Saccharomyces cerevisiae S288C: one gene and its partner. The protein of the gene in region 1 binds, or shares a complex with, the protein of each later gene. Each region holds a gene or a part of one and is shown on either strand. Other genes may lie near its edges. The genes, in order: MMR1 and MYO2. A codon is read from its position in the direction of its gene.

The links.
Region 2: the proteins of MMR1 (region 1) and MYO2 are in contact, whole or in part, in a crystal structure (PDB 6IXP), measured with the Saccharomyces cerevisiae proteins. Residues at the interface, in NP_013291.1 of Saccharomyces cerevisiae: Thr408 (codon at 3,107), Arg409 (codon at 3,110), Leu410 (codon at 3,113), Ala411 (codon at 3,116), Arg412 (codon at 3,119), Val413 (codon at 3,122), Ser414 (codon at 3,125), Val415 (codon at 3,128), Leu418 (codon at 3,137), Ile421 (codon at 3,146), Glu422 (codon at 3,149), Gln424 (codon at 3,155), Pro425 (codon at 3,158); in NP_014971.1 of Saccharomyces cerevisiae: Glu1222 (codon at 5,654), Leu1225 (codon at 5,663), Ala1226 (codon at 5,666), Leu1229 (codon at 5,675), Gln1233 (codon at 5,687), Thr1237 (codon at 5,699), Gln1238 (codon at 5,702), Leu1239 (codon at 5,705), Lys1240 (codon at 5,708), Glu1293 (codon at 5,867), Asp1297 (codon at 5,879), Glu1299 (codon at 5,885), Ala1300 (codon at 5,888), Leu1301 (codon at 5,891), Tyr1303 (codon at 5,897), Asn1304 (codon at 5,900), Asn1307 (codon at 5,909), Ile1308 (codon at 5,912), Lys1311 (codon at 5,921), Lys1312 (codon at 5,924), Thr1527 (codon at 6,569), Gly1528 (codon at 6,572), Pro1529 (codon at 6,575).

What each region holds. Positions count from the first base shown.
Region 1 is NC_001144.5:533,329-537,426, forward strand, and holds MMR1 (Mmr1p), read left to right. Parts: upstream 1-1,885; coding exon 1,886-3,361; downstream 3,362-4,098. Other genes in the region: ATG26 (sterol 3-beta-glucosyltransferase), read right to left, coding at 1-1,065; peroxin PEX13, read left to right, coding at 3,944-4,098. UniProt on the Saccharomyces cerevisiae protein: Involved in the guiding of mitochondrial tubules to the bud tip during cell division.
Region 2 is NC_001147.6:923,731-930,945, forward strand, and holds MYO2 (myosin 2), read left to right. Parts: upstream 1-1,990; coding exon 1,991-6,715; downstream 6,716-7,215. Other genes in the region: FRT1 (Frt1p), read right to left, coding at 1-1,310; SNAP receptor SNC2, read right to left, coding at 7,004-7,215. UniProt on the Saccharomyces cerevisiae protein: Myosin heavy chain that is required for the cell cycle-regulated transport of various organelles and proteins for their segregation.

The DNA of each region.
Region 1 (4,098 bases):
AATGTTGGGCAGCGGAATTTTTAAACTTATCGAATTGTTTTCAGAATTCTGAGCTGCGAACTGCTCCTTTTTCAAAGCGTTCACCCACGATTTAGCGGAGAACTCTGAATCTGCATTGAATTTGAATGTACTTTCATCTGTGTAAAGCTTAAATGTTTTCGTAGCACTCCCGTTTAAGGTATGTTTTTGTGTTTCAATTTTTTGGACCTCCCTCAAATCTATGGTTAAAACCGGAAAGTATAGCTCAGTTGATGAGGTATACATAGAAAATAAATGATTCTTTAGTACGCACCAATACCTGGTAGACCTAATTAGTTTTGTCCTGATATTAAGGTTTCCAGACATTTTAACCGACCGAGGATTCTTAGGTAAATATGCAAAGAATAGGAAATGTTTTGTTGTAATAAAAATATGGCCTTGAACCAACACATCTTTAAGTAGCCATGCAGGGAAATCATTCAAAAATGGTTCCTGTTCGTCTAAACAAAACCGCTGTCTCAACTTAGCCACATTGTCTTTTGACAGTTTTTCCCTAGTTATTGAGAAGTCGAATAAAGTTGGCTTTCTTTTGTCTAATCTTGGTACTTCCGGATGCGATTTAGTTTTGAGATTTTCCTTTTTGCTTTTTACCTCATTTCGACCAATGTTTTCCTGGAAACTATCACTGGAATCAGATTCTTCAGAATCAACTTGCGACAACACATTCATTTCTTGAGCATTATTCATCCCTGCATACACACTAGCAGTAGTTAATAAACCGGCAATACTTTTCATCATATACTTGGATTTCGCCAAGTCATCTGCATTATCGTTATTGTAACCGTTTTCGTCATCATCACTACGGGCTTCATTTGGACTGTCCTGCAGTTCTTGCTGCTCAGACGACCCCATCGATAAACTGCTATTTGATCTTCCTCTCCAGCGCTTGAACTTCGAAAGTGACCTTGAAAGGCGATGATGCCTAGGGGAAGTTTCTGGCTCAGATGGCTTATCAGGTACCAACGAAATGCTTGGTTTTGGCCCCGCCTCGCTATCAGACGCTGATATGATTTGAGTGATGGGCATTCTTTTAAGTTATACGGATTTTCACCAAAGCATAAAGTGCAACTGAACTTCTGATGTTTACTTTTTGACAGCCATGACTTTATCAGTGATAAATGCAATGACTTTCCGATCTACTCCTTCTGTTGACTTTTAGTCCCTTTTTTCTTAGATGTTATGTTACAGTCACATCAGGGTTAAGTTTTTCCAAGTCATCTCAAAACAATGACCTATTTTATTTCTAGATAAACCCTGGTGTAAGCAGGGTTAATTTTGTCCCAAACGGGCAAAATATAAATACCCCTTTCGGGAAATAAACTAAAAAGAGTTCTAATTAGCCAATTGGCAAGAAAGCTCGATGAAGAATCATTATGGGTTTAGAAATCAGATTTCCTTACTTTACAAGTTCTCTCACGCAAGCTTGATCGTTTTTAAATTTTCTACGTTCATTCAAGACAAAGTGGTTACAGATAGAAGTTTTTCTCACATTTAGATTATTTTTTCCTGATAGTATTAAATAACACGTACGATCAACAAATTGTTGCTCAGTTTAAGTGAGCCTAGAGAATTAAGCTTTATTACTGCTGTATTTTCTGTTATTTTGATTGCCTTGGGAATAAAGGAAAGGTTTGGAGGGGCACATCTTCCTAAATAGCAGTAAGGAAAAAGAATCGCGTGTGAAGTCTTTTAAATCAACATAGTTATCCTCGGTTCCAACTATTTTACTTTCGTTTCAATTCCGTTGTTCTTAACTAATCTTCTTTTCTTTTAACTTGTTACAAGCCAGTACTCATTGCAAAATCAAAAAAAAAAAACACAACTAATAAACTAAACAACTAAAAAAATGAATTCTCCAACAATGAAATCGGAACAACTTACTCCAAAACTCTCACCAATGTCCTTTTGTTTGGATGACCAAAGAAATGCAGGCTCTTTTCAAAATCTATTGAACTCACCTACGAAGCTAAAATTAGACACTGGCCCGATTGGTAATTCCTTGTTATATCCAACATCACTCTCTAAATTGAGCGAGTTATCAAGAGGTGGACGTTCTAAACAAAGAAGGGGCTCTGACACTATGAGGTCTGTATCGCCTATTAGGTTTCAGTTTTTGAACAACACTCCAAAGATGTTAAAACCCGAGTACCTATCTCAAACAACCAGTAATCTGCCATTGCTATCTGCCCTATTGAAGAATAGCAAGAAAACTACTAGTGAAGGCCAGAATTCAAACCCTGATCCATTGAACATAGAGAAAAACATCATTAAACAAAGCATCAAGGACAAACTAGAGCAGCTGCGCAGTTCAGAATCCGTTGCGCAAGTACAAAAGAAAGAACGCAATCCCCCTTCATTTGAGGCCAAAGTCTGTGCGGAAGAACCGATATTACGGAAAAACGCCGAAGGGTTGCTCCCCTCATACGTTCCTGTTCCTGCTACTCCTTTGGAAGATCCAGAAAATCATGGGGTGCGAAAGGTCGAGGACAAAGGACTTAGAGTCGTCTCCGGCGGCTCCACTCAGTGTCTAAGCACCGAAGTGAACGAATTGCCTAAGGATCTGAATCTAGACAATTTACCTACGGATAATAACGGGTTCGTTCAATATGGTCTCAAAGGCAATAACAACAACAACAGATATAGCTTTATCTCGTCTACGTCGACGGACTATGAGCCCGAATGGTGTGACGGACAACAACATATTTCAATGCAAATGGCCTCTATGGCCAATGCAGAGGAGGCAAATAGTCGTGAAAAATCGAATTTAGACATAAAGATCAAGCAGCTAGAACTTGAAATTACAGAATTAAAGTTGCAGAATGAAAAATTAGTGCATTCCATGACGACGAACAGATACATTGAAGAAAGATTTATGCTTGAGGTTATGAAGGATCCTAGTATACAGGCTCAAAGATCCCAAAGAGATATTGAGAGAAAAGTCAAGCAACTGGAGAAAAAATTCTTCAATTGTAAAAAAGTTCTTAAGAAATTGACTGAATCCTCCGCAGTAGTGGCCACCTCCACTTCAAAAACTGAAGGAAATTCAGCAAGAATCCCATGCCCTAAGACTAGACTGGCACGCGTTTCTGTTTTAGACCTAAAGAAAATTGAAGAACAGCCAGATTCTTCTTCGGGAACTTCGTCCGAGGAAGATCATCTAACAAACGATGATACGGATGCTAATACTAGCGAAGATTTAAATGTTGCTTTTGAAGAGGAGCCAACTTCTGCTATTTCCACAACAGCATCTGTGCAGAGTGGGGAAAGTAAAAGAGGTTTCCAACTTAACCTTCCTGTCCAAGTGGAGAAGAAGGAAAAATGAAGCGTCAACTTCAAATTAAATTAACTTATTTTACACAAACATTCACAATACATCAATGCTGATAGGCGCTTTGTATTGTAGGCTATCGAGTTACGCATCTGCAATGTGCGTGATTTCTCCGTTATCCATCCTTCTCATTGGACAATTTTTATTTGAATATTACTGAACTTCAAAGGGCTTGTCGTGTGATTTAATCTTTTTTCTTACAACGTCGAATGCTGCAGCTATTTATTCATAGTGTCGTCTAAGCAAATACCCCGCTTTTAAAAGCTGAATAGAAAATCCAATCACGGTGTGACTGGTATCACAAACACATAATTTATATATTGCATTCAAGTTTATTCAACCTATACTTAAATACATTAATTACCAAAAAAAATGATATAATAAAGTCTTCTTTTATCTGATTAATGACACCTTTTTCAGCGGGCCAAATTTTTTTTATTTCCGAAGCCCGCCGGACTAATATTAATTATATCAGATAGTTGGTGAGCAAACGCATGTGGAAATGAACAACAATTTCGAAAGTGCATATACTATCTATAAATATCAAGGGGATTCTATACTATAACAATACCTGCGATGTCATCCACAGCAGTACCACGACCTAAACCTTGGGAGACCAGTGCTTCGTTAGAGGAGCCACAGCGTAATGCTCAGTCTTTAAGTGCGATGATGACCTCGAATCAGCAGGATTCCAGGCCAACTGAAGAAAGCAATAACAGTAATAGTGCAAG
Region 2 (7,215 bases), on another chromosome or scaffold:
GAAATATGATTTTGATAATAATTCAATTCATCAATGTTATCATTCAAATTTGAGTTGCTCTTCGAAATAGAGTTTGAGCTAGAATCAGGAGTGGCTGCGGAGCCATTATTATTGTTCACCTTCAGTACACTCTTGAACCTAGTGGAAGAATCCGCTGACTTCTGCCTATTCAGTAAATACTTAAATCCCAAGGTATCGGTGCCAGGTGCAGTGGAAGAGCCTGATGAATTCCTTGGTTTCCTCTGGTTAGTCAAATATCCTAAAGAGGGATATACACCGTTTAAACTTCTTCTATCCACATCTTCTGAATCTGATGAGGTGGATGACGTGGACGAAAAGGCTGATGACGACAAAAATGCTGGTACATTAGAACGGGAATACAGAAATGACGAAGAATCGTTGACAGCAGAACCGTCCAAATCATGATAAAACAAAGATGTGCTGGGGGAGGAGTTTACGGAAATTTGTGATTGAGAATGCATATTCCCTAATTTAATGCCGCCAGCGGTGGATGAGGGCTCAAACACTACCGACTCCCTCAACGTATCAAATGGGTCTGAATTTCCCAAAGAAGGCTGTAAAAATTGGTTAACCAATCGTTTCCTCTCATAATCAAAAGAACCAGCGGATGATCTACGTTGCGAAGAGGAGGAACCCTGTATTTGATTGAAAGCTAGCCCAGTATGACAGCTTTGGAAAACGGACATCGAACCACGACGTCCTTTACTAAGGCAAGACAATCTGGCCCTATTAGAGTTGAAGTCGGTTTTCGGCGACACTCTGAATGGATCATCCAAACTGGATGCCCCACTATATGATCTACTGTGTCGACCTACTCTGTTATCGATGTCATCTTCAAACAAAAAATCGCTAAACTTCCCGGTTTTGGTCGATCCCAGGACAGGTAAGCTAGTCATTTCCAATGAACGTTGTCGTACCCCATGTGCCCTATTCTTTGTCACATATAAATGTCTCCTATCATGCAGCGCAGGCTGTTCCTCCTTTTCTTTCTCCCTTTCCTTTTGTAACAACGATCCCAAGTTTACTTCAGTGCTTGGTCTTGGGACCACCGGATTATCATTCACTGCTATGACAGGTAATCTAGAAGATGATTTCGAAAAGTGTGCAACATTTGTTTTAGCTTGTAGAGGTTCCGGCTGCGGCTGCGGCTGTAGACCGGATTCTTTTATCTTCACTGCGTCGCCACTGGAAGCCCTTCTTCCCTTACAAAAGCCTCTTGGGAATGAAGGAGGTAACAGGGTACAGTTCCTCGATCCGGGATTCTCCATCCGGTCAATTAGCAAGTTCATTTTCACTTAATGTATCAACTATAACTTAAACCAAAAAAAAAAAAAAATTTAGATATGGGAAGGTCTTTTCCTCCACAAATAGGGTGAACTATCCGACCCAGATCAATAAATAAATAGGCTCGAAGACGCCTCAGAACTCCGGTCACTGGTTTGTCTTGTTGATATACGATGTGCCAAGCGCCGTTTCTCGATGCTTATCTGGTTTAGTTTACGCTGTTAAAACCAAAACCCCAACAGATTTTCGACCCTAACGTATGTAGGGCTAAAATAGATATTGAGTAGGTTACAATTAATTATTGGCAATTGCACCTAGTGACACATTTACGAAAACGTAGGGCAAAAACTATTACCCGACCCAGGGCTATTTTGTGATTTTTTCCTTTTTTTTGTTTATGATCGCGCTTCTCGAAAAGCCAAATATCAGAAATCCCAAACACGCCTTCATTTGATACGATTCGTAGCCTGCGTTTCAGAGATCTATCAACTTTGCAAGGCCAATCAGAGAACAAAAAAGTCTCGCAAAGTCATTTCACTTTTCTCGCTTGAAATTATTCGTTCGATTTCTGGCTGCTTGCTTGTTTTTTGTTTTCTAAGGTACTATTCGACACCATTCCATTGGACAGCGATACTTATACCATTGTACATATAGGACATAAAAACAGCAGATATTACAGCGTATAATGTCTTTTGAAGTGGGTACACGATGCTGGTATCCCCATAAAGAATTGGGCTGGATTGGGGCGGAAGTAATCAAAAATGAGTTCAACGACGGCAAGTACCACCTGGAGTTACAATTGGAAGACGATGAAATCGTGTCCGTGGACACAAAAGACTTGAATAACGATAAGGACCAATCTCTACCGCTTCTTAGAAACCCTCCCATTTTGGAAGCAACGGAAGATTTGACCTCTTTATCTTACTTGAATGAGCCAGCTGTTTTACATGCCATCAAACAGCGCTATTCTCAATTGAATATCTACACATACTCGGGTATTGTTCTGATTGCTACAAACCCTTTTGATCGTGTCGACCAGCTTTATACACAAGACATGATCCAAGCATATGCGGGAAAGCGCAGAGGTGAACTGGAACCTCACTTGTTTGCCATTGCCGAAGAAGCGTATAGGTTGATGAAAAATGACAAACAAAATCAAACCATTGTGGTAAGTGGTGAATCTGGTGCTGGAAAAACGGTTTCTGCCAAGTATATTATGCGTTATTTTGCTTCTGTAGAAGAGGAAAATTCCGCTACTGTACAACATCAAGTGGAAATGTCGGAAACAGAACAAAAGATTCTAGCTACAAACCCTATCATGGAAGCATTTGGTAATGCTAAGACTACCAGAAATGACAATTCTTCCAGATTTGGTAAGTATCTAGAAATTTTATTCGATAAGGACACATCTATTATTGGAGCAAGGATCCGCACATACTTGTTGGAACGGTCCAGATTAGTTTACCAGCCGCCAATTGAGAGAAACTACCACATATTTTATCAATTAATGGCTGGATTACCAGCTCAAACCAAGGAGGAATTGCATCTTACCGATGCCTCAGATTACTTCTACATGAACCAAGGCGGTGACACCAAGATCAACGGTATTGATGATGCCAAAGAATACAAAATTACAGTAGATGCATTGACATTAGTCGGAATCACCAAGGAAACTCAACACCAAATATTTAAGATCTTGGCCGCACTTCTGCATATCGGTAACATAGAAATTAAAAAAACTAGAAATGATGCATCACTATCAGCTGATGAGCCAAACCTGAAACTGGCGTGCGAATTGCTGGGAATTGATGCCTACAACTTTGCCAAATGGGTCACCAAAAAGCAGATCATTACAAGGTCAGAGAAAATTGTTTCGAATCTAAATTATAGTCAAGCTCTGGTTGCCAAAGATTCCGTGGCTAAGTTTATTTATTCCGCCCTTTTCGATTGGCTTGTGGAAAATATCAACACCGTGTTATGCAACCCGGCTGTGAACGACCAAATTAGCTCATTTATTGGTGTTCTGGATATTTATGGGTTTGAACATTTTGAAAAAAATTCATTTGAACAATTTTGTATTAACTATGCCAACGAAAAACTACAACAAGAGTTCAACCAACATGTTTTCAAATTAGAGCAAGAAGAATACGTTAAAGAAGAAATTGAATGGTCTTTTATAGAGTTTAATGATAATCAACCTTGTATTGATCTGATTGAAAACAAGTTGGGTATTTTATCACTGCTTGACGAAGAAAGTAGGTTACCTGCTGGTTCCGACGAATCTTGGACCCAAAAACTTTATCAAACTTTGGATAAATCTCCTACGAACAAAGTATTTTCTAAACCAAGATTCGGGCAAACTAAATTTATCGTGAGCCATTATGCTCTAGATGTCGCTTATGATGTGGAAGGATTTATTGAAAAAAATAGAGACACCGTATCTGACGGACATTTGGAAGTGTTGAAGGCTTCTACCAACGAGACACTAATAAATATCTTAGAGGGATTAGAAAAAGCTGCCAAAAAACTGGAAGAAGCGAAAAAGCTTGAATTAGAGCAGGCTGGCAGTAAAAAGCCAGGTCCGATAAGAACGGTTAACAGGAAACCCACTTTAGGTTCCATGTTTAAGCAATCTTTGATTGAACTAATGAATACCATCAACTCAACTAATGTTCATTATATTCGTTGTATAAAGCCTAATGCAGATAAAGAAGCTTGGCAATTTGATAATTTGATGGTGTTGTCTCAACTCAGAGCCTGTGGTGTTTTGGAAACTATTAGAATATCTTGTGCTGGGTTTCCTTCTAGGTGGACTTTTGAAGAATTTGTATTAAGATATTACATCTTGATACCACATGAGCAGTGGGACCTAATCTTCAAAAAAAAGGAAACTACAGAAGAAGATATCATATCAGTGGTTAAAATGATCCTAGATGCTACTGTAAAGGACAAATCCAAGTACCAGATTGGTAATACAAAAATTTTCTTCAAAGCAGGTATGCTTGCATATCTGGAAAAACTTAGAAGCAATAAGATGCATAATTCAATTGTTATGATCCAGAAGAAAATTAGAGCTAAATATTACCGTAAGCAGTATTTGCAAATATCTCAGGCCATCAAGTATTTGCAGAACAACATCAAAGGTTTCATCATTCGTCAACGCGTTAATGATGAAATGAAAGTTAACTGTGCAACTTTATTACAGGCCGCTTACAGGGGTCATTCCATCCGTGCCAATGTGTTCAGCGTATTGAGAACAATTACAAATTTGCAAAAGAAAATTAGAAAGGAACTAAAACAAAGACAACTGAAACAAGAACATGAATATAATGCTGCGGTAACTATTCAAAGTAAAGTTAGGACCTTTGAGCCGAGATCGAGATTTTTACGCACTAAAAAAGACACTGTTGTTGTCCAATCTTTGATCAGAAGAAGAGCTGCTCAAAGGAAATTGAAACAATTGAAGGCAGACGCTAAATCAGTTAATCATCTGAAAGAAGTGAGCTATAAATTAGAGAATAAAGTGATTGAACTGACGCAGAATCTAGCATCCAAGGTCAAAGAAAATAAAGAAATGACAGAAAGAATTAAAGAACTACAGGTTCAAGTGGAAGAAAGTGCCAAGTTACAAGAGACATTAGAAAATATGAAAAAAGAGCACTTAATAGATATTGATAATCAGAAATCTAAGGATATGGAATTACAAAAAACTATTGAGAACAATTTGCAATCCACTGAACAAACTCTAAAGGACGCTCAATTAGAGTTGGAGGACATGGTTAAACAACATGATGAATTGAAAGAAGAATCTAAAAAGCAACTTGAAGAATTAGAGCAAACAAAGAAAACATTGGTTGAATACCAGACATTAAACGGAGACTTGCAAAACGAAGTTAAATCTTTAAAGGAAGAAATTGCTAGGTTACAAACTGCCATGTCGCTGGGCACCGTTACTACTAGTGTACTACCTCAAACACCATTAAAGGATGTAATGGGAGGCGGTGCTTCAAATTTCAACAATATGATGCTTGAGAATTCCGACTTATCTCCTAATGATTTGAATCTAAAGTCTAGATCTACTCCATCGTCCGGAAACAACCACATTGATTCATTGAGTGTCGATCGCGAAAATGGTGTCAATGCTACACAAATCAATGAAGAGTTATACAGGTTATTGGAGGACACTGAAATTTTGAATCAAGAAATCACGGAAGGCCTGTTAAAGGGATTCGAAGTACCGGATGCTGGTGTAGCTATTCAACTAAGTAAAAGAGACGTTGTTTATCCGGCTAGAATACTGATTATAGTTTTAAGTGAAATGTGGAGATTTGGGCTGACCAAGCAAAGTGAAAGCTTTCTTGCCCAAGTATTGACTACAATTCAAAAAGTTGTCACTCAATTGAAGGGTAACGATTTAATTCCAAGCGGTGTATTCTGGTTAGCAAACGTTAGAGAGTTATACTCATTTGTGGTGTTTGCTCTAAACTCTATTTTAACCGAAGAAACGTTCAAAAACGGCATGACCGATGAGGAGTATAAGGAGTATGTTTCATTGGTCACAGAACTAAAGGATGATTTCGAAGCTCTAAGTTATAATATATATAACATTTGGCTGAAGAAATTGCAGAAGCAATTGCAAAAAAAGGCCATCAATGCTGTGGTCATCTCCGAATCATTACCAGGTTTCAGCGCGGGAGAAACCAGCGGGTTTTTGAACAAAATTTTTGCTAACACTGAAGAATATACAATGGACGACATTTTGACCTTTTTCAACAGCATATACTGGTGCATGAAATCTTTTCATATTGAGAATGAAGTGTTCCATGCTGTAGTCACAACCTTATTGAATTATGTGGATGCAATTTGTTTTAACGAATTAATCATGAAACGTAATTTCTTGTCGTGGAAAAGGGGTCTTCAATTGAACTACAACGTTACTAGATTAGAGGAATGGTGCAAGACGCATGGCTTGACAGATGGTACTGAGTGCTTACAACATTTGATTCAGACCGCTAAGCTACTGCAAGTCCGTAAGTATACTATCGAAGACATTGATATCTTAAGAGGAATTTGTTATTCGCTAACACCTGCACAATTGCAAAAATTGATTTCACAATACCAGGTGGCAGACTATGAGTCTCCAATTCCACAGGAAATCTTAAGATACGTTGCTGATATAGTTAAGAAAGAAGCTGCGTTATCTTCATCAGGTAATGATTCTAAGGGTCACGAGCATAGCAGCAGTATATTTATCACTCCAGAAACAGGTCCATTTACTGACCCATTCAGTTTGATAAAGACAAGAAAATTTGACCAAGTAGAAGCCTATATACCAGCGTGGTTATCCTTGCCCTCAACTAAGAGAATAGTTGACCTTGTTGCCCAACAAGTCGTTCAAGACGGCCACTAAAACTGATGGCGCGAGAAACAAAATTGTACATGAATGCTAAAAAAAGAAATGACAAAAAAAGAGAAAAAAAAAAATGAAACTACATAGTTAATTAATAATAGAAGTATTTGTCAATAGTATGATAATGAAATCGATATTATGGAAGATATTAACCGCGCGCCGTATTAGTGTACACTATATTAAACTACATTTTGCTTCTTACTGAATTTATAAATTATGATTATATTATTATTACTATTATGACTACTGTATATATTTTTTAGAATTAGCATCGGGAACCGATGAGCGTTAGCTGAAATGGACGACGATAGGAACGATAATTACCACTAGTAAAATAATAACAACTAAGAATAAACACATTCTCATTTTTAGATCTTTCCACCACATTTGCTTTCTGACCCTGTTGGCGCCTCTCTTGAATCCTTGTGCGGAGATAGCCAAGTTATCAGCTTTGTCCTCAATGGATGTTAGCCTTTCACCACGTTCAGCAACCTTGTTGA